2 linked regions of the Mus musculus genome follow. Each later gene encodes a partner of the first gene's protein in a complex. Links are inferred from orthologs where the notes say so. Each region holds a gene or a part of one and is shown in the gene's direction. Other genes may lie near its edges. The genes, in order: Slc9a1 and Chp2.

Region 1 (9,103 bases):
GGATCTGATGCCCTCTTCTGGTGTGTCTGAAGACAGCCACAGTGTAGTCATATACATAAAATAAATAAATCTTTAAAAGAAGAGAGATAGAGGAAGGCAGGAGTATAAATTTACAAGTGATTATGACACGGTATCAAAACAAACCCAAACAGACATGAAAGTCTAAGTTTAAGACTTCAAGATACCCGCAAGAAAGGTTGACAATGACAAATTCAGGTGGTGCCTGCTGGGCGCTGCTCTAAAGCTTTATTTATGTACATTCCCTAATATTCTGACTACAGCACCACAAGGTTGGCCCTGTTGCTTTATGGTGGAAGAACTTGGAACAGAGACTGATTACTCCAGGTCTCACGCCTGTGGTGGTGCTGGGACAGGGTCTAGACAGTGGCCATCTGTGTTAGGCAGCCCTGAAGCCTCCTGGGACTGTGCCCTAGCTACAAGCTAGGATTATTTCCTGATACTGTTAAGTTTTTATAACCTTCTCCATGTCCTGTAGGACCTCCACCAGGGGTGGTATTTCCTGGTTCTTCTCCGATCTGTTCTCTCTGGAGCTGGCACCAAAGACTTACTGAGGGCTGGAGGGGGTGGGGTGGGGGTGGGGAACACCAGTGACTGCCAGTGGCCTCAAGGCTTGGGAGTAAAGTGCCTACACTAGCCCTGCCCTTCCTCTCCCTTTAGTAATCCGTACTGAGTCTGCAGTGTAGATTAAAGCCTGGCTTTAAATGTTAGCACTGCTTCCCCACAGCTATGTGATCTTAGGCAAACAGCTTCAAGAATCCAAACCTTGGTGCTTTATCTGTCAAGTGAGAATGGGAATAATCACTACTGCATCCTGATTCTCTGTTATACGGCATAGCAGTTGGTTTTCAGTTCTCAGTGACTCCACAAGGCATTGTTGATTCTGATCCTCTGGGGTTTTAGTTATTGAGAACGGAACACAGTGCATTTTATATGCTAGGCAAGCACTCCAGTGCTGAGCTATGTTCCCACCACCTTATTTTATTATCATTATTATTAATATTATAGATTTATGTATTTATTTTATGTATATGAGTACACTGTCGCTGTCTTTAGACTCACCAGAAGAGGGCATCAGATCCCATTACAGATGGTTGTGAGCCATCCATGTGGTTGCTGGGAATTGAACTCAGGACCTCTGGAAGAGCAGTCAGTGCTCTTAACCTCTGAGCCCAGTCCTGCATTATCTTTTATATCATTTTATTTTGAGGCAAGCTCTCCAAAGTTGATCATGCTAGCTTTGAGCTCACTCTGTAGACCTTGCAGGGTTTGAACTTTCCATCCTCTTGACTCAGTCTCCTGAGAAGTCTCATCTCAATGCCAGATGGCAAGCCTGGCTTGTTCTGATCTGTGACCTAGAAGTCATTCCCTTTTCTCACCTCCATTGGAGCTACTGTTTGTCTTTCATCTGTTCTCAGTATTGTCTTAAAGTGTTGGGGATCGAACCCGGGGTGTTGCTCATGCTAGGACAGCTGCTCCATGATAGTCTCCGAATCCCATAACACACCCCTCATGTGTGTATGGGTATGGTATATGCATAGTGTGTTGTGTTGTGTGCAAGTGCATCAGCCTTGTACAGGCAGACGCCAAACTAGGAATCATGTTTCCTGTGACCTTTCCTTAGTCTCTCAAGATGGAGTCTCTCACTGAACCTGGAGCCAGGCTGGTGGGCAGCAAGCCCTAGCAATCTTTTTTGTCTCCATTCTCCAAGGTACGAGGGTTAAAGGTATGTGGGCATACTTGGCTTTCTTGTTCTTTTCTTTTAACTCTGAGAGCTGGGGATTTATTTGAATGATGGTCCTTAGCCACTAAAGCATCTTTCCAGGTCTGTTTCTGAATCTTCTCTTTCTTTCTTTCTTTCTTTCTTTCTTTCTTTCTTTCTTTCTTTCTTTTCTTTTCTTTTCTTCTTTCTTTCTTTCTTTCTTTCTTTCTTTCTTTCTTTCTTTCTTTCTTTCTTTCTTTCTTTCTTTCTTTTTCTTTTTTTTTTTTTCCGGTCACCTCCCAGTGTCTGAATCTATTCCTGGAAAAACGTGGCAAGGTTCAGAAAAGTCAGAAATGTTTTACACTTGGTTGTCATATCACACTCTTGTTACTTGAAAACACCTTTTTCCAGATGGAAAGTACACAAACTCTGAAGGCATGGTGAACTCCCACAACATAACTGCCTCTGAGTAACTGGGTATGGACCACCCAGTGAAGGAACAGGACACTCCCAGAGCTGGGAAGCTCACCTTGAGCTCTGGAGCTGACCCTAATCACCATTCACAGTCCCACTCCACGCCTCATGCCTATGTCCCTAGCTCAGCAGAAATCCTTGTCAAGAAAGTTCTGAAGAGATTTGTCAAACGAAAACAAACCCCTCTAACAGCCCCTTGAACAAATCACCTTGGATTTCTCGGCTTTAATTAACCTTTCCATGAAACAGGATGGCATTTGAAATGATTTAAAAACTTCTCAGTCTGGGCTCAGCGGTGGTGTGCTTACCTAGCACGCACAGGGTTCTGTGTTCAGATCCTACTTCTGAGGGGGGGGGGAAGAGTTCTCATGATTGCACCATGTAGACACAATGTCTCGACCTTTCTGAACTCTAATCAATATCATTCATTCAAATTCCAGTTCCGGCTGTGTGTGGTGGTGCATACCAGTAATCCCACTTGAGAGGGAGAGGCAGGAGGATTGCCAAAAATTAGAAGCCAGCTGGGCTACATTGTAAGAATGTAGCCTTTCGCACAAAACAGAACATGCCCCTTCTGGAAGCTGTTTTCTGTCTGCAGATAATAAAAATCCTTCTTTTCTCTTTAAACCAGACAGACAGACAGACAGATAGACAGACAGACAAAAACAATACCCAGCCTCTTACTTTTTGGTTGTTTCACTACTGTTATGAGTTGAAACACGCCCTTTCAAAAGAAGCTGAAGTCCTACCCCTGCCCACCCCTCAGTGCCCGAGAATGTGGCTTTATTTAGATGAGGGGTTTTGTTGTTGTTGTTGTTGTTTTAAATCTCTTTGAGACAGGGTCTCCCTACTGACCTCAGCCTGGTCTAGAACTCACTTTGTTACACAAGCTGACGTTGAGTTAAAAATTCCTCTTTCTTTAGTTTCCCAAATGCTGGAATTACAGTTTCCCACCGTTCGTGGCTCAGATTGGGTTTTTGAAGTTGATCAAGGTAAGGTACGCCATTAGGGCCAATTCCTAATTCAATTTGCTTGGAGTCCTTTTAAAGGGGGAAATTTGGACCTAAAGACGGATACAGGGAGGCTGGGGTTATGCCGCCACAGTCAAGGGAAGCCAATACATTGCCATCAAAGCACCTGTGGCTGGGATGCAGGAACGGATTTCAGCTCACACGGTCCTCAGCACAGGTCAATGCTTGGGAACATACAGAGTGCAGATTTCTAGCCCATTTCATTCATTCATTTAACTTTATTTTGTGACACTGGGCATAGGAACCAATGGTAGACAAGCACTCTACCTCTGAACCACGATCCCATCCCTTTCATTCTAAACATTTCTCATAGATCACCTCATTTAACCATCTTGTTATCCTTTTGTTATAGCTATCCATCTCCACCTTACAGTTGAGAAAGCTGTGAAACAGAGAGGCTAAATAACTTGTTCAAAGTCACATGCTAACAAGAAAACACTTTGTAGATAGTACAGTATGTCACTCGTGTTAGATTGTACTTTTTTTTTTTTTTTTTTTTTTCCAATTTAGGTCTCGGCTTCCTCTTCTTACGTGACACTTCCTTCCCTGGGCGACAGGGGCCGCTGCACCGCGCGGGCGCTGACAGGTCTCTCTAGCTTGCTGCGCCTGCTACTCGTTGGTGCCTATAAATGGCTGCGCTGTGCTCAGCGAGGCATCAGTCCGCTACCGCGGGACCCGGGGCTGTGTCAGGTCTGGAAGTGGAGCTGGAGCTGACCGAAGGAGCTGCCGCTGGGCCGGGGTGGAACACAGCTCTGCACCGGGGTCTTAAGGAGGGGTGTGTTGCTGCTGGCTCACTGCGAGCCGCCTCCAGCCTGCGCCGAGGCACCTTCCCGCCAGGCCGTCTGCCTCTGTCTTCCGCCTCCCTCCATTTCCCCGGAATCTCAGCCCGGCGCGGCTGGACCCTGGCTCTCCTGTGGGTGGGAAAGCCCCAGCCTTTTTCCTGCTATACTCCTTTATCCCAGGCTGGCCTTCCAGCCTTCTCTCGCCTTTCCCTGCGGAGTGGGTCTCACCCTTTTCCGTCTTTAGCCCAGGCTCCTTACCCCTCCCCTTTAGCCGAGTTCCAGCACCCTGGTGATTTTCCTTAGCCAAAGGTCCTATCCTTCTTCCTCCTTTCCCTTGCCCGTGGTCCAGCCTATCCGGCCCTTCCCCTCTCTTCAGGACGCAGTTTCCCCGATTTCCTTCTCTCAGCCTGAAGTTCTAGATCCTTTCGGTTTCCTCCTTAGTCCCTCCAAGGTACTTAACCCCTTTTTGCAGTTTGGACTTTGAGATTGTGAATCTCTAGAAAACGAAAATACTTCTCTAAAACATGAACTTTTCCTAGAGATTGCCCCAGTCTCACCCCATCTGCAGGACTCCTTGCTACCTATGTCCCAGGTCTTACACGCACTTCGCTAAGGGCTGAGGCCTCCTAGGCTGGGGGATCAGTATGATGCTTCGGTGGTCCGGCGTCTGGGGATTTCATCCACCTCGGATCTTCCCCTCCTTGCTGGTGGTGGTTGCCTTGGTGGGACTGCTACCTGTTCTCAGGAGCCACGGCCTCCAGCACAGCCCTACTGCCAGCACCATCAGAGGTTCTGAACCACCCCGGGAACGCTCAATTGGGGATGTCACCACGGCACCATCAGAGCCTCTCCATCGCCCAGATGACCACAATTTGACCAACTTAATCATTGAACATGGCGGTAAGCCATCTCGGAAGGCCTTCCCAGTCCTGGACATTGACTACCCTCACGTGCGCACACCCTTTGAGATCTCCCTCTGGATTCTCCTGGCCTGCCTCATGAAGATAGGTAAGTGCATGATGGTGCTGTTGCTGCCACCACCAGATAGGTGAGCTTCTTGCCCCACTTGTTACCAGGTTCTGCTTCTCAGGCTCTGAATGAACCACTTCTGCAACGCGGGCGGGCAGCCTCTCCCTCCTTTTTGTTGGTCCTTAAACTCCAGCTCTGGCCTGTGAGCTGGCATTATGTAGCAGGAGGGAGGGTCAGGAGCGTGCACGAGATGGGATGCTTCTGATATTGGTTTCAGAAAAGCTGCCAAGGCTTGGCTGGTCTCCTACAGCTGGGATGGGACCTAGAGAGGAGGCAGGTGCTTAGCTATGTGTAAGACAGGAATATCCTTTAGCAAGTGGCCCTTTCTGTCCTGTCAACAGGAATCAGTACGGATTTATTACATTCTTTGTGAAAGGGTGTTTTAGGACTTGGCCTGTCTAAGGATTTTGCGTAGAGTAAGGAACTAGGTACAAGGCACTTAGGTGTGTGGTAGAACACAGGGATCCCCAGAGACTTATTTACCTTCATCCCCAGAGTGATACCTCTCAGCTTTGCCTGCCAAGGCCAGTCAGAAGCCCCTGAGTCAGGTCCCAGTCCAGAAATGCCAACCGTTATCCAGTTCATAGGAATGGCTACAGCCAGCCATTTGGGGATGGCAAGAAAGTAGAGGAGGTTGAGGTTTGGTTCAGGTTTGTACCCAACTGACTAGAGACGGGGACCACCCATTGAAGGCAAAGAGATAGAGAAGAGCTGGGTCTAAAGAGATTTTAAAATATTCTTTTTGGAAGAATGACATGAAAATGCTGTTCCTTCTCCAAGGGTTGGGGTTCCTGCCCAGCCTGAGCACCCTGTTCTGCTGGGTGATTGGTGGGGTTCTCCCGAGGCTGCATAGCCCAGAAGTTCCTGGAGATGGTATCTAGGGGGCTTTTCAAGCTACCTTAAGTTTTCCAGCCCACTTTCAGCGAACTGAAAGTGGGAGCCACCGGGTCTCTCTCTGCTTCCCTCTTTGCTTGAGATTTGGGTTTTGAGGAGTTAGAGACTCTGGGCAGGAAGTCTCGCAGCTTCTTTTCCCAAGGACACCAAACTGGTGTGAGGCTGGCCCTGTGGCATGCTGCAGGAACTAACCAGTACCTCTGTTTTGATAGATCCAGGAGCTGGCTTCCTGGTATGGGGCTTTGGTGCTGAGGTGGTTACAGTGGCCGAGTTAGGGCATGGAGCTGGGCCATCAGCACCTACACCCTGATGGCAGCCAGCTTCCTGGGGGGGAAAAAAAAATCAAGGTCTGAGCAAGGGGAACCGTGGATACAGATTCAAACCTAAATGCATGACCTTGAACAGCTGAGTGTCTTCCTGAAGGTCTTTCTTGTGAAATAAGCATCGGAATTGCTATTTGACTATATCGATTGACTCATGACACCGTGTGTCTGTATTTGTTGTAAGACCCTGAAGTGACCATAATATGTCATTTGTCTGTAGGAGGCGAGGGAGAGACTGGAGAGACTTCATAAGTGCTGCCTGTAAATTAACACCTCCCTCAGCCCCGTGGTGTCCCAGTCCTGGGAGCTGGCACACACACTGCAGACCTGTGTCTGCTGTTAGTCAGTACACTAGCATGACCAGAAAGACCCCACTCTGGGAAGTCCCAACTTTGTTCCTGCAGACCTGATAGCTCTTGTCCTAATGTGTGCTGGCTGGCCCTGACCTGCTTTGTCAACAGACCCTGGGCCACTGGATACCATAGACGGTGCCGGCAAGGATATCAGTCAGGAAACTGAGTTCTCCTCCCCCCCTCCCCCCATGACCTTGACCAATCATGTCTCCTTAGCCTGCTGATCTTCAGGATCCTTTCCAGGTCTGACATTTCTGTTGTTGCTCCGATTCTGGAAACCCCGGTTAAGCTTTTGAAACTCGGACCTCAGTTTTCCTTCTGTAAAATGGGGAGGCTGAATCTGATCCCCCATGCAATCCCAAAGGCCTGTGTGTCTGGCTTGGAAAGGCGTTTTTTCTGCTTCTGAAAATGGGGGCCTTGGCACCTGGCCGTTCTGGGGCTAAAGAGTAGAGGGAATGGGGACGAAGGACCTCAAAGCGCTGTGCAGATGGCAGCCATGAAACTCCACTCTCCACCTGCGCCTTTGAGTTAAGGTTAGATGTGAGGTCGCTGTGTAGAATGCACCACCCACCCACCGGTTCACATTCTCTGAGCCTCTTTATCAGAAAATGAGAAGTGCAGGCTGGTGTGTAGTTCAGAGGTAGAGGACATTCGCAAAGTACAAGGTTCAAAAGTGTGTGAGTGCTAGCAGTGTGATGCATACAGTGCATAAAGTTGGCTTGCTGCACATGAGAGAGCAGGGTGAGGAGCCGCCACCTACGGCAGAATCCTACCTCCTATATTCTCTGAGATTGGAGCGCTACGCTATTCACTATTCCTTAGCCCTGGTCCACCGTCTGTCTTTCCTTAAGGTTTCAGATCTGTTTATCTGACTTATTCTGTCTGTCTGTCTGTCTGTGTGTGTCAGGGTTTCTCTGTGTGGCCTATCCTATCTTTTCTCTTGAGCTGCCTCCTTTTGGTGGTTGTCGGAAGATTCGGGGTGGTGCCTTGATAACAGGCTGGAGGGCTGGGGCAGTGAACTCTGCACTGTCTGCTGTCCAAGAGCTAGAGACTTTATTTCAGGGTCTTGGCTGTTTTCTCATTGTCCCAGAGAGGGTAGGGGTTTGGTGGAGCCCCCATCCCTTCTGCTGTGGCAGCTCCTTGCCACGCACGGTACTCCTCAGCTAAGAACAGAGAGTGCAGTGTGCAGTCTTCTTTCCCATCCTAGTTGTGTGCCAAAATCCAAAGGAGGATCTTGTGGAGATTGACATGGGAGAGACAAAGCAAGAGTTAATGCTCTAGAGTAATTGATGCCTCTGGACTGGGGAGGTGACCTCAGGCAAATCACCTCCCTTCTCCAGACACTGTTTCTCTCTTTTAGTCGAGGATTCTTTCCTCTTCTTGGTGGGAGGAGAATTAGTAGTTTAAGAGGGACTTAAATTATTGAGAGAACCAGAGCTGGGCATGTAGCTTAGTTGGTAGAGTGCTTGCCCACCATGCATGAGGCCCTGGGTTTGATTCCATATACCACATAAAAAAAGGACGGTTGATGTCAGTAAGCTTAGGACTTGGGAGGTAGAGGCAGGAAGATCAGAAGCTCAAGGCTGGCCACCCTCAGTTACAGAGTGAGTTTGAGGCCAGCCTGAGATACACGAGGCCCTGTCTCAAATAAGTAAATAATAAATAAATGTATGAATAAATGAATAATTGAGAGTTGTCCTGAACCCTTTGGGGTTGGGCCATTCTCTGCCTCCTTCCTGTACTGTGGTTTGGCTCTCGCATGAATTCTGCTTTGTCCCAGTTCACCTGACTCTCAGGCAGTGCATGTTCTCACTCAGGGAGAGCGCCTGTAACCAGCTCACCACTGGCAGCACCCCTGGTGTTTGCCCATATTCCTGACCTGGAATGCCTGGCAAGGCCCAGAAGCCTCCTATAAAGCAGGTATTCATCTTGTCTCCTGATTAGGGACAAAAAAGGCTTCTTTTGTCCCTTTAGATCTTATGACATTTCAGTTTTGGTCTTTGGTATATGCTGCTATTTCCTCCCTAGAACAAGTTTAGTTTATAGAGGGATAGATAGATAGTTTTTTATTGTTGTTGTTGGCTTTTTGTTTGTTTGTTTGTTTTTATTTTTATTTTTATTTTTTTGAGATAGGGTTTCTCTGTGTAGCTCTGGCTGTCCTGGAACTCGCTTTATAAACTGGGCTGGCCTTGAACTCAGAGATCCACTTGCTTCTGCCTCCCAAAGGTGTGGACCACCACAGCCCAGAGAGATACAGGATATTGTTTCTGCCCACTTCATGTAAGCAGTCATGACCCTGCCTGGTGGTCTGTTAAAGCAGGACCCAAACCTACCTTTTCTACTTCTCAAAAGGAAAGAAACAGCTTAAAGGTCACCTTGAAGCTGTCTCTATCCCAGATGCCACTCCAAAAAGAAAAGGATACCTTTTCCTCCCGGGAAAACCAGCTGCCTGACTGTGGGATGCTCTCAGGGACGTCAGCCAGCACGTGGGAAGGCC
Region 2 (9,277 bases), on another chromosome or scaffold:
GTAAAGGCACTGTATACATGCAGAATTCAGAGAAATAATTCCAGGAGTTGGTTTTTGTCTACTACCATGTGCCTCCTGGTGTCCAAACACAGGTCTTCAGGCTTGACAGACAGGGCCTTTAACTGTTAAGCCATCTTGCCTGCCAAAGTTAGCAAACTTCAAAGTAAAAGAAAAAAAAAAAAACCTTCAGCTGAGGACGTAGCTCAGTGGTAGGACATAGACCATTTACTCATGAACAAGGCTCTAGTTTCCATCCCCAGTAACACACACACACACACACACACACACACACACAGAAGCACATATAATAGGTTCTTCAGAAATATTCCCTAAACAACTGGACAGATGTAGGCATGCAGTGTGGAGTTGGTATAAACTCCACTTGCATGCATGAAGACCTCCTGGCACAGGGTCCCCCTGGGGATGGATGTGCATATGGGCTTGTCACTGTACTAGAATGACTTATTTGAACATAGTGTTGACTCAGAGACAAGGCTGGCAACCCCTTTCTTACCCTGCTAGAGGTTACTACTGCATAGGATCAGGGGCTCCTTTCTTCCTGGGCTCAGTCTAATTCCCAGCTCTGGCCTTGAGTGTGGCTGGGTTTTGTGGGGGAGGAGGATAGCTTCCCACATTCTTTAGTCCTTGGGGACATCTGAAAAGGAATCTGGTGTCCTTCCTGCCAGTTATTTAGTCTGAAAGTGAAGCAAGCATTCTTTAGATCAATACTTTCAAGTCTCTTTGGGGTTGAGTCTCTGTCCCAGGCTGGAGACTAATAGACTGTTTCTCTCTCCCAAATGGTTATTAACCCTTGTAGATAGGATGATGTAGGGTAGTTTCAAAACTAAATACCTGTTTGTAGCAGCATTGAGGAATGAACCTAGGGCAACAGGCTTGTTGGTAAGCTCTCTTCTATTCCAGAGCTACATTTTCCACACAGCTTTCACCTTACACAAGAAAATTAAATAAAGTCTGTGTGCGTATGTGCATGTGTGTATGTGTGCATGTGTATGTGTGTATGTGTGTGTGCATGCACACATGTATGGCCATGCTCAGCATCTTCAGGAATCTTAGAGGGTCAAACTCAGCCTTCACTTTTACACAGCAAGAACTCTTACCCACTGAGCTGCCCCTCCTCACCCCAGTTCCCTACTTTTAAATGTTGGAACAGTTTCTAAGTTGCCCAGTCTAGCCTTGAGTCCATTTTGTAGAACAGGAAGGCCTTGAACTTGTGATCCCCCTGCTCCAGCTCCCTGAGTGGTCTAGGTTGGGTCAATGGCTTTATGAGAACACGGAAGCACCAAGCAGGGATACACTGTTGGACTTGTCATGTGATGCCCTGAGCTATGTGGGACTCTGCAGAGACACTCAGACAAAGCCACCTGATCCTTACCTTCCTAGTCCAGAGATGAATGACAATTTTGTCTTATCTTTTTTTTCCTTCTTCCTTTTATATTTTTAAAGTTAGGAACTCACTGTTACCCAGGCTGCCAGAACTCACTATGTAGCACAGGATAGCCCTTAACTTTGGATAGTGTTCTCTTGCCTCAGCTTTTCATGTGCCAGGACTACAGGTATGCACCGCTTCACATTAGCTGATTGATCTATCTTTGTGGCAGGTTCTCACTGTGTATGCATGGTTGGCTTAGAACTGGAAGTATAAAACAGGCTGGCTTTGAACTCACAGAGATCTACCTGTCTTTGCCTCTGTCTGCTAGAATTAAAGGCACGGGATACCATATGCCACCTAAATTTTAGTCTTTATTCTTTTTAATGTTTTTACATGTGGGTGTTTTGCCTGCATGTATGTCTGTGTACCACAAGCATGCCTGGATCCCCCAAGGCCAGAAGAAGGCATTGGGTCCCCGATGCCTAAAGCTACAAACAGCTGTGAACTATCATTTGGGTGCTGGGAACTGAACATGGGTCCTCTGAAAGAGCAGGTGTTCTATACTGCTGAGTCATCTCTTCAGCCCTAAGCTTTTTTTCCTTTATTAATGACTGTGGTGTTCCCATATAGCTATAGGAAATAGGGCAGCGTGCTTTTCAGCAGTTCACAATACACGACAGTGTGAAGTCTAGCAAGGACTCACAGTGCACATAGCAAAGCCCCAGGTGCAGGGACAGGCCTTGCTACTGTCTTTAGTATTTTTTTTTAAATATAATCTTAATTAGAATTGATGTCCATTGAAACTTGTGCTGATTTTGAACAGTGTACTATATGATGACTAACAAGTTGTTATTTTAGAAAATTCGAGACGACAAAAAAGGAAGCGGAAGAAAGAAGTGCTGGGGCAATCATTTGTGATAAAGAAATACTGTAGAATTATTTGTTTGTTCTCTGCAGTATTTTATAGATGCAACAAGGGTCCAGTTAGTCATTATCTATGTTTCTCACACTAGAGATCAAGTAATAAGTAAGATGCTTTGAAACATTCAATGTATGCAATACTGTTACTGTTGAAATCTGTCAAGCGTGCAAAGAAGTAAAAAACCGACTCTGTTGTTCTGTCGGTACCGTTGTTCTGTTGGTTCGGCTGTTCTGTTGGTAGCGCTGTTCTGTTGGTACTGTTGCATGAGACGCTGCCTTTTGCATTTGTTTGCCTCTCACTGCGTGTGACATCCTGCATCCAGCTTGCCTCACACTCTTCTTTCACTAATCACAGAAATGGAGGAGGAGGCTTCATTATTAATATCATCCTAATAGATAATAAACGGACCCAAGGTAGAAGGGTTAAAGGGCACCCCTGCCTGTGTTCATGTGGGACAATGTTAGCAGGGGGCTGTCTAGGTATCAGCACAGTGCCCCATCCTACGCCTGAGGGTACCCTACCACGGATGTTGTTGTTCAAAACAAACATCGAGGAGAATCAATCTGGAATTCGGCCTCGATTCTTCTAAAAATACTTTATTGAATGTCACTAAATTCCTGTCCACAGTTCAGGTTGTGTTCAGTTTGCTCTTATAGGGCCCCTAAAATTGCAAATTCTCCGAGTTGAGTTCTAGCATACTGGTTCTGGGTGTTACATGGACTATATGATCTAGATAGACATCGGTTCTTCATGACCTGCCCGTGCTTCTCCATTTCTGTCTCAGCACATCCTCTTCAGATGCTTATGTTCTGATAGAATGCTGTGTGAATGTGCCAACTGTGAGGTGACTGTTTAGGATTTTAAGCCAGGTCACAGACTTCAGCTTGTTGGTGTTGGGAACTGGTGAGAAGCCTAAGAGGTTACACACCTGTTGTCACATTGGGAGAGTGAACATGGGTTGTTTGGGCACTGTGGCAAATAGCCTCTCGTTCAAGATATCAAAATGTCTAGGAATTTCCCCAGCCCACTGCAATGTGTCAAACCCTGTGGAAAATAGCCTCTTGTTCGAGATATCAAAATGTCTAGGAATTTCCCCAGCCCACTGCAATGTGTCAAACCCAGGGCCTTGGGCTTGTATGGCAGGTGATGCCATCCCACTCAGTCGCAAAGTTAGCCCCAGAATTTCTGATTTCTCAGAGAATCCATGAGTCTGGATTTTGGATAAATCTTAACACATTTGTTTGTTTTGAGAAACAAGGAAGCCTAGGTTGGCTTAGGACACATGTAGCTCAGAGTAGCCACCCACTCATGGCTAATTTCCTGCGTCAACCTCCTCAGTGCTGGTGTCCGGAGGCTTCGTGAATCTTAAGAATTAGTTCAGCCACAGGATAATCCCACATAGACAAAACATCGTGGCCTTATGTAGAATAAGGAGAGCGTAATTGGGATTCCCGTCTATGCTGTACCACTTAGTGGAGCCCGGACTTCCCCATCCCCATCCCTCCTGCCCAGGGAGCCGTCCCTGCTCCCTGCCCCCTGCCCCCTCTTCTGCTCCCCAGAAGAAAATCTTCATCCTGCCCAGTAGGATTTAAACTGAGTGAGCAGCACTGGCTGAGCGGATCTGGGAGGTCCTGTGGAGGAGGTGGGTTTGTGTCTAGGGAGTGTTGGGAGAAAACTGGCTCACACAGGCGTGAGGAAGGCGGGGCCCTGGCATCGCTGCCCAGCCTCTGGCGACCTCAATCTCCAGGCTGAAACGACCAGTTGTTTTCAGCCTTCCCCTCTGACCTGCTACTCCGGGCATTGTTTTCTGTTCTCCCAGAGTTGTAGGTGGCAGGCGAAAAACGCCTAGATTCTGGCTGCTCTCCAGGACCGTGACCTTCGGCTCTGGGGCCACTGGGCAGCCGCGCCTTTTGGACGGGAGGAGAGAGGAAGCAGAGGACTCCTGGTTCCCCTGGCTGCTCGTCTCCTCCTGTGGCTCTGCCATGGGCTCACGAAGCTCTCATATCGCGCTCATTCCAGACGTGGAGCACATTCGCAGAGAGACAGGCTGTGAGTATGGGTGCTGGTAGTGGTGGTGGTCAGCGCAGCCCAGTAGTTCGTGGGCGGGCACAGGAGGAGGTTTAGTGTAGTGTAGTGTTTTGTGTGTGTGTGTGTGTGTGTGTGTGTGTGTGTCACTAGAATGTAGCTTGAGTATTCCAGATCGCAGAGACTTAGAGGGTTTGGAATCTGAGTCTGGGAATTTGCGCCTCTGGAGCTGGGAAACCGAGACCCAGTGTCCGGGTTCGCAAGGTACCTGAGAGCCAAGTTTGAGGCAGTCCGGGTTGATGGACCAGATTCACTCAGGTGTCTTTGAGCTCGGCTGGAGGCTGAAGGCTGAGCTGAGGACAGATGCAGGGGGAGCTATATCCTGGGCTCTGGGAACTTCCTGGGTTCTCCAACCTAGTGTTTTCTGGAGCCAAGCTTTCTCCAGCAGAGTCGACTCCACACACCTGGTCTTGCAAAGGGTAACTCTCTCCCTTTATCCTCGCCCGTGAGCTTCTTCCTTGTGGTTGAAGCTGCGCTGAGGGTGGAGAGATAGAAGACCCTTTTATGTTGGGGGGGGGGGGCGTTAAAGATGAGAATAAGCCCTCTTGTTCCTCGCCCACGCCCCCTGGCCGGGGTTTCTACAGCGCACCCCAAGTCACAAGGGGCCTGGCAATAAAGACCTGTGAGTCCTCTGCGGACTCATCCCCACCTCCTCTCCGCAGTCTCGCAAGCCAGCCTGCTCCGCCTCTACCACCGGTTCCAAGCCCTGGACAGGGATGAAAAGGGCTTCCTAAGGTGAGCAGAACAGATCTTAAGATCTTTTGCCTCTGTTTTTTCTGGCCCCATCCCCTCACTGACACCTCCATCTGCCTCCTTTTTTGCCTTCCTTGCTTTGTCTTCACAGCCGCCTAGACCTCCAGCAGATCGGAGCACTGGCTGTGAATCCACTGGGTGACCGCATTATAGACAGCTTCTTCCCCAACGGGTGAAGTCTCTACTGGCTGACCGGAGGGGAAATGGACGTGGGTGGGAGGTGAGGCTTCAGATGGTGGCAGCTTGGGTGACCATTGACCTTCTCCATCCCTGTCCCTCTAGAAGTCAGAGACTGTATTTCGCAGGCTTTGCCAGGGTCCTGGCTTATTTTCGACCTATAGATGAAGAAGATGCCACACTCCGAGACCCCAAGCAACCTGAACCCCTAAACAGCAGAATGAACAAACTGCGCTGTGAGTGTGTGCGCCCCCCCTCGTCCCCCCCCCCCGTCCCCCCCCCCCCCCCCCCCGTGAGCCTGGTGAGGACTTATTGTCAGCTCAGGAGCCTCACTTCCTTTTCCCTCTCCTTTCCCAGTTGCATTTCAGCTCTATGATCTGGATCGGGATGGGAAGATCTCCAGGAATGAAATGCTACAGGTCAGAAGACCATGGCTGCATCAGATGTGATGTGGGCAGGGCAGGATGGTTAAATGGAGGTGTGTGTGTGTGTGTGTGTGTGTGTGTGTGTGTGTGTGTGTGTGTATGATGACTGGGGTTGCAAATGATTGTGTGTTAGGTAAGACCTGAGATGGGCTGGGGTTGGGTTAGTTAGGACAAGGGGTGGGGAGGAAATAGGTAAGAGACTGGGAATAGAGCTCAGATTCCCAACTTGGGAGTAATGCCGCCTCTTGCCAGTATCTGAGATACTTAGTTGTCATTACCGGGAAGAGATCACCCAATCGATTTTTACCAGGAATGGGCCAGCAATACTGCTATACACACCCAAACACCTAGGACAGCCTTCCACATCAAGGACTTATCTAGGTCCAAATGTCATTAGTGCCAAGACTCTGGGATAGATGATAAAGTTAGGGTGGAGAGTAAGGTGTTGTAGAGTGGAGGATGGGTGTCGATTGGGCTATACAACTAGACAGTGACACAGTGCCAGGCATTTACTACAGGCTGTAGGGGAAATTGAGTTTGATGGTGAAAAGTGCGTGAGAAAAAAATTGGTTATAACTTACGGGATGAGGTGGGCAAGGCTGGGGCTGGAGGAGCAGCCTCTGTGGCTCTTCTCTCTGACTGCCTCTTCTCTCCCCTCCCAGGTTCTCCGCCTCATGGTTGGGGTCCAGGTGACGGATGAGCAGCTGGAGAGCATCACAGACCGTACAGTGCAGGAAGCTGATGAGGACGGGGATGGGGCTGTGTCCTTCCTGGAGTTCACCAAGGTTAGGAGGGGTTGAGATCAGGAGTGCCTGGGACAGAAGGGTAGGGAAATACAATTAACTGGAGGATGGGAGAGACCGGGGAGAGGTGCATTCTGGGAGATGCTAGGACTCCAGGGGAGGGGTTGAGATTCAAGCCTCTTGTCTTGACCTCGCCCATCTCTCCCCAGTCCTTAGAGAAGATGAACATCGAACAAAAAATGAGCATCCGGATCCTGAAGTGACCCCTGTGTCTGACTCACGTAGACGTCTGTGGGCTTGGGATTTACCTACCTGGGTCCCCTGGAGGCAGGATCCCACAAGCCATATTCTACTTTGAAACTTTGCTTAGGGCTAGGAAAGGAAGTTGGAAGAATGTGTGCTGAAGTCTCATTTGCTCTCAGATTTGTGAATCACTCAGTGATTTGGTTGCAAGTGGCTGAAAGGCCAACCCAAAGTGACCTGATTAAAAAAAAAAAACGTGAGAAGAGTGACACACGCCTGTGACTAGACAGCCTGGAAGTAGTTGCCTTTAGGGACAGCTGGATCCAAGGACAAGCATGGTGTCACCAGAATTGAGTTTTGTCACCTGGGGTTCTCAGCTTGGCTGCCTCCTTGCATTGGGATCATTTTTTGGGGGTACAAAGGGCCGACAGCTATCCAGATTAACATCTGCTTAGCACACTAACCCAGAGGAAGAGTTGTCTTACTCCAGAAATGCCAACCAAGCAGCATCATTGACCCAGCTGGGTCTTTTCTCTATCTCCAGGGGAATGGAACATCCAAAAAAGCTATGCCTGTGTCATATAATAATTCCAAAACCTTGAAATAATGCCTGAAGTCTTAGCATAGAGTGAGAGGTGGTTGCCTTAAGGAAAATGAAGTAATGTTATCAGAAAAATGTGTGTGTATGTGTGTGTGTGTTTATGTTGGTTTTGTTCGGGCAACGTGAATGATGCATCTCTTTGCTACTTGGTTGAGCAAATTAAGGGAATCTTGAAATATGGCCTCTTGAATGGGTTTTCTCTGATCCCCTTGATGAAAGATAATATGATGGGGTTGGTGGCTGGTGGGAGGATGGGGTACAGTAATTTAAACCATACTTATTTTCCTAAAGTATATGGGTACTCCAAGGTTTGCAGAATAATTCGTTGTGCTCATGGTAAGAAGTTCAAACATTGTCAGACTGCAGAAAAGAGTATACAAGTCACTTTGAGGCAGAATAGAAGCACATACACAGACACAAGATATAGAGATAGTGATGTGATATATATATGTATATATATATATATATATATATATATATATATATATATATATATATATCAAGCTGTGGAATTTTCCTACTCAAAGACTATTGCTTTTATTTAGAGATCTTTCAAATAACAATGTAAAAATTGGGGCTAGAGAGATGGATCAGCCTTTAAGAGCACTCACTGCTCTTTCAGAGGACCCAAGGTCAGTTTCTAGTACCCACATTGGATGGCTCAGAACAACTTGTTACTCAAGTTTCAGGGAATCTGATGCCCTTTTCTGGTCTTCAAAGATATTGCATGTATGTTGTAAATACAGGCAAGCGACCACAAACATATAAGTAAAAACTTTTAAAAAGTTAAAATAGCAACAAAATATGCTTGTGGTGGTTTGAATATGCTTGGCCCAGTGTGTGGCACTATTAGGAGGTATGGCCTTGTTGGAGTAGGTGTGGCCTTGTTAAAGGGAGTATGTCACTGTGGGGGGTGGGGGGTGGGGGGGAGGCTTTGAGCCCCTCCTCCTGGCCACATGGAGGCCAGTCTTCTGTTTGCCTTTGGAACAAAATGTAGAACTCTCAGCTTCTACTGCACCACGCCTGCCTAGTTGATGTCATGTTCCCGCCTTGATGATTATGGACTGAACCTCTGAACTTGTAAGCCAGCCTCAATTAAATATTGTCTCTTACAAGAGTTGCCTTGGTCATGGTGTCTGTTCACAGCAATAGAAATCTAAGACAATGCTTAAAGTTTGAGCCTTTCATTATTGTTTACTCTTCCCCAGATACTCCTGGGAGACTATAAACATTTGCTTATGGTTTTACATGCCATATGGTAAATATTTGTCAACTTCCTGTGTAATGCCTGGGACTTAAGGTTTTACATGATCAGCTGTAACCCTATCCCGTGTACCTCAGGAACCACCCTATGATCTCATTTAAACGCTCTATAAACCTTTTAAGATGGAACTTTCATGTCACCAAAATGGCTGTGATAAAGACGCTTACTCATGGCTTTCTTGAGCTGTGCACACCCACATCGGGGTGTTTCTTATCTTTACCTTGAATGATTCCCCAGAACTCTTGATACACCCTCACACCTCCTGCTTAAACCTATGGTTGTTTTGTCTTCCAGAGGGGCTGGAACAAACTCTCAGGGGTTAAGAGCACTTGCTTCTCTTGCAAGAGAATCTGAGCTCAGTTCTCCACAAGCACGCAGTGGCTCACAACAACCTGTAACTTCAATTACAGAGGATCCCACACTGGCAGCCTCTCAGGCACAAGGCATGCATGTGATGCAGACATAAACAGGGCGGAAACCGCACAGACAGATAAAGTAAATAAACCTGTACAATATTTCTTTCCAATAAACTCTAATTCAGCCGTATACTGGATCATCCCAAAATTCTTTTCTGTGGCAAAGCCACTTCAAATGTATATATTTGAATCTTAAATAAAATTGCTTGTCCTATAAATGGAAAACAAAAATCAAAGCAAAATCAAAACAACAACAAC

The links.
Region 2: the proteins of Slc9a1 (region 1) and Chp2 are in contact, whole or in part, in a crystal structure (PDB 2BEC), measured with the Homo sapiens proteins. The link is inferred for Mus musculus from reciprocal best matches to the Homo sapiens genes SLC9A1 and CHP2. Residues at the interface, in NP_003038.2 of Homo sapiens: Ser517, Ile518, Asn519, Glu520, Ile522, His523, Thr524, Gln525, Phe526, Leu527, Asp528, His529, Leu530, Leu531, Thr532, Gly533, Ile534, Glu535, Asp536, Ile537, Cys538, Gly539, His540; in NP_071380.1 of Homo sapiens: Arg30, Arg34, Leu38, Leu51, Ile54, Ala56, Leu57, Asn60, Pro61, Leu62, Ile66, Phe70, Phe83, Leu87, Phe90, Tyr118, Ala119, Leu122, Tyr123, Met136, Val139, Leu140, Met143, Ile156, Arg159, Thr160, Glu163, Ala164, Phe177, Ser180.

The regions. Positions count from the first base shown.
Region 1 is NC_000070.6:133,365,893-133,374,995, forward strand, and holds the start of Slc9a1 (sodium/hydrogen exchanger 1), read left to right. Parts: upstream 1-3,842; 5' UTR 3,843-4,651; coding exon 4,652-5,015; intron 5,016-9,103. UniProt on the Homo sapiens protein: Electroneutral Na(+) /H(+) antiporter that extrudes Na(+) in exchange for external protons driven by the inward sodium ion chemical gradient, protecting cells from acidification that occurs from metabolism.
Region 2 is NC_000073.6:122,215,418-122,224,694, forward strand, and holds Chp2 (calcineurin B homologous protein 2), read left to right. Parts: upstream 1-4,078; 5' UTR 4,079-4,294; coding exon 4,295-4,361; intron 4,362-5,059; coding exon 5,060-5,132; intron 5,133-5,241; coding exon 5,242-5,322; intron 5,323-5,432; coding exon 5,433-5,563; intron 5,564-5,684; coding exon 5,685-5,746; intron 5,747-6,333; exon of another isoform or gene 6,334-6,414; coding exon 6,415-6,537; intron 6,538-6,704; coding exon 6,705-6,758; 3' UTR 6,759-7,122; downstream 7,123-9,277. UniProt on the Homo sapiens protein: Functions as an integral cofactor in cell pH regulation by controlling plasma membrane-type Na(+)/H(+) exchange activity.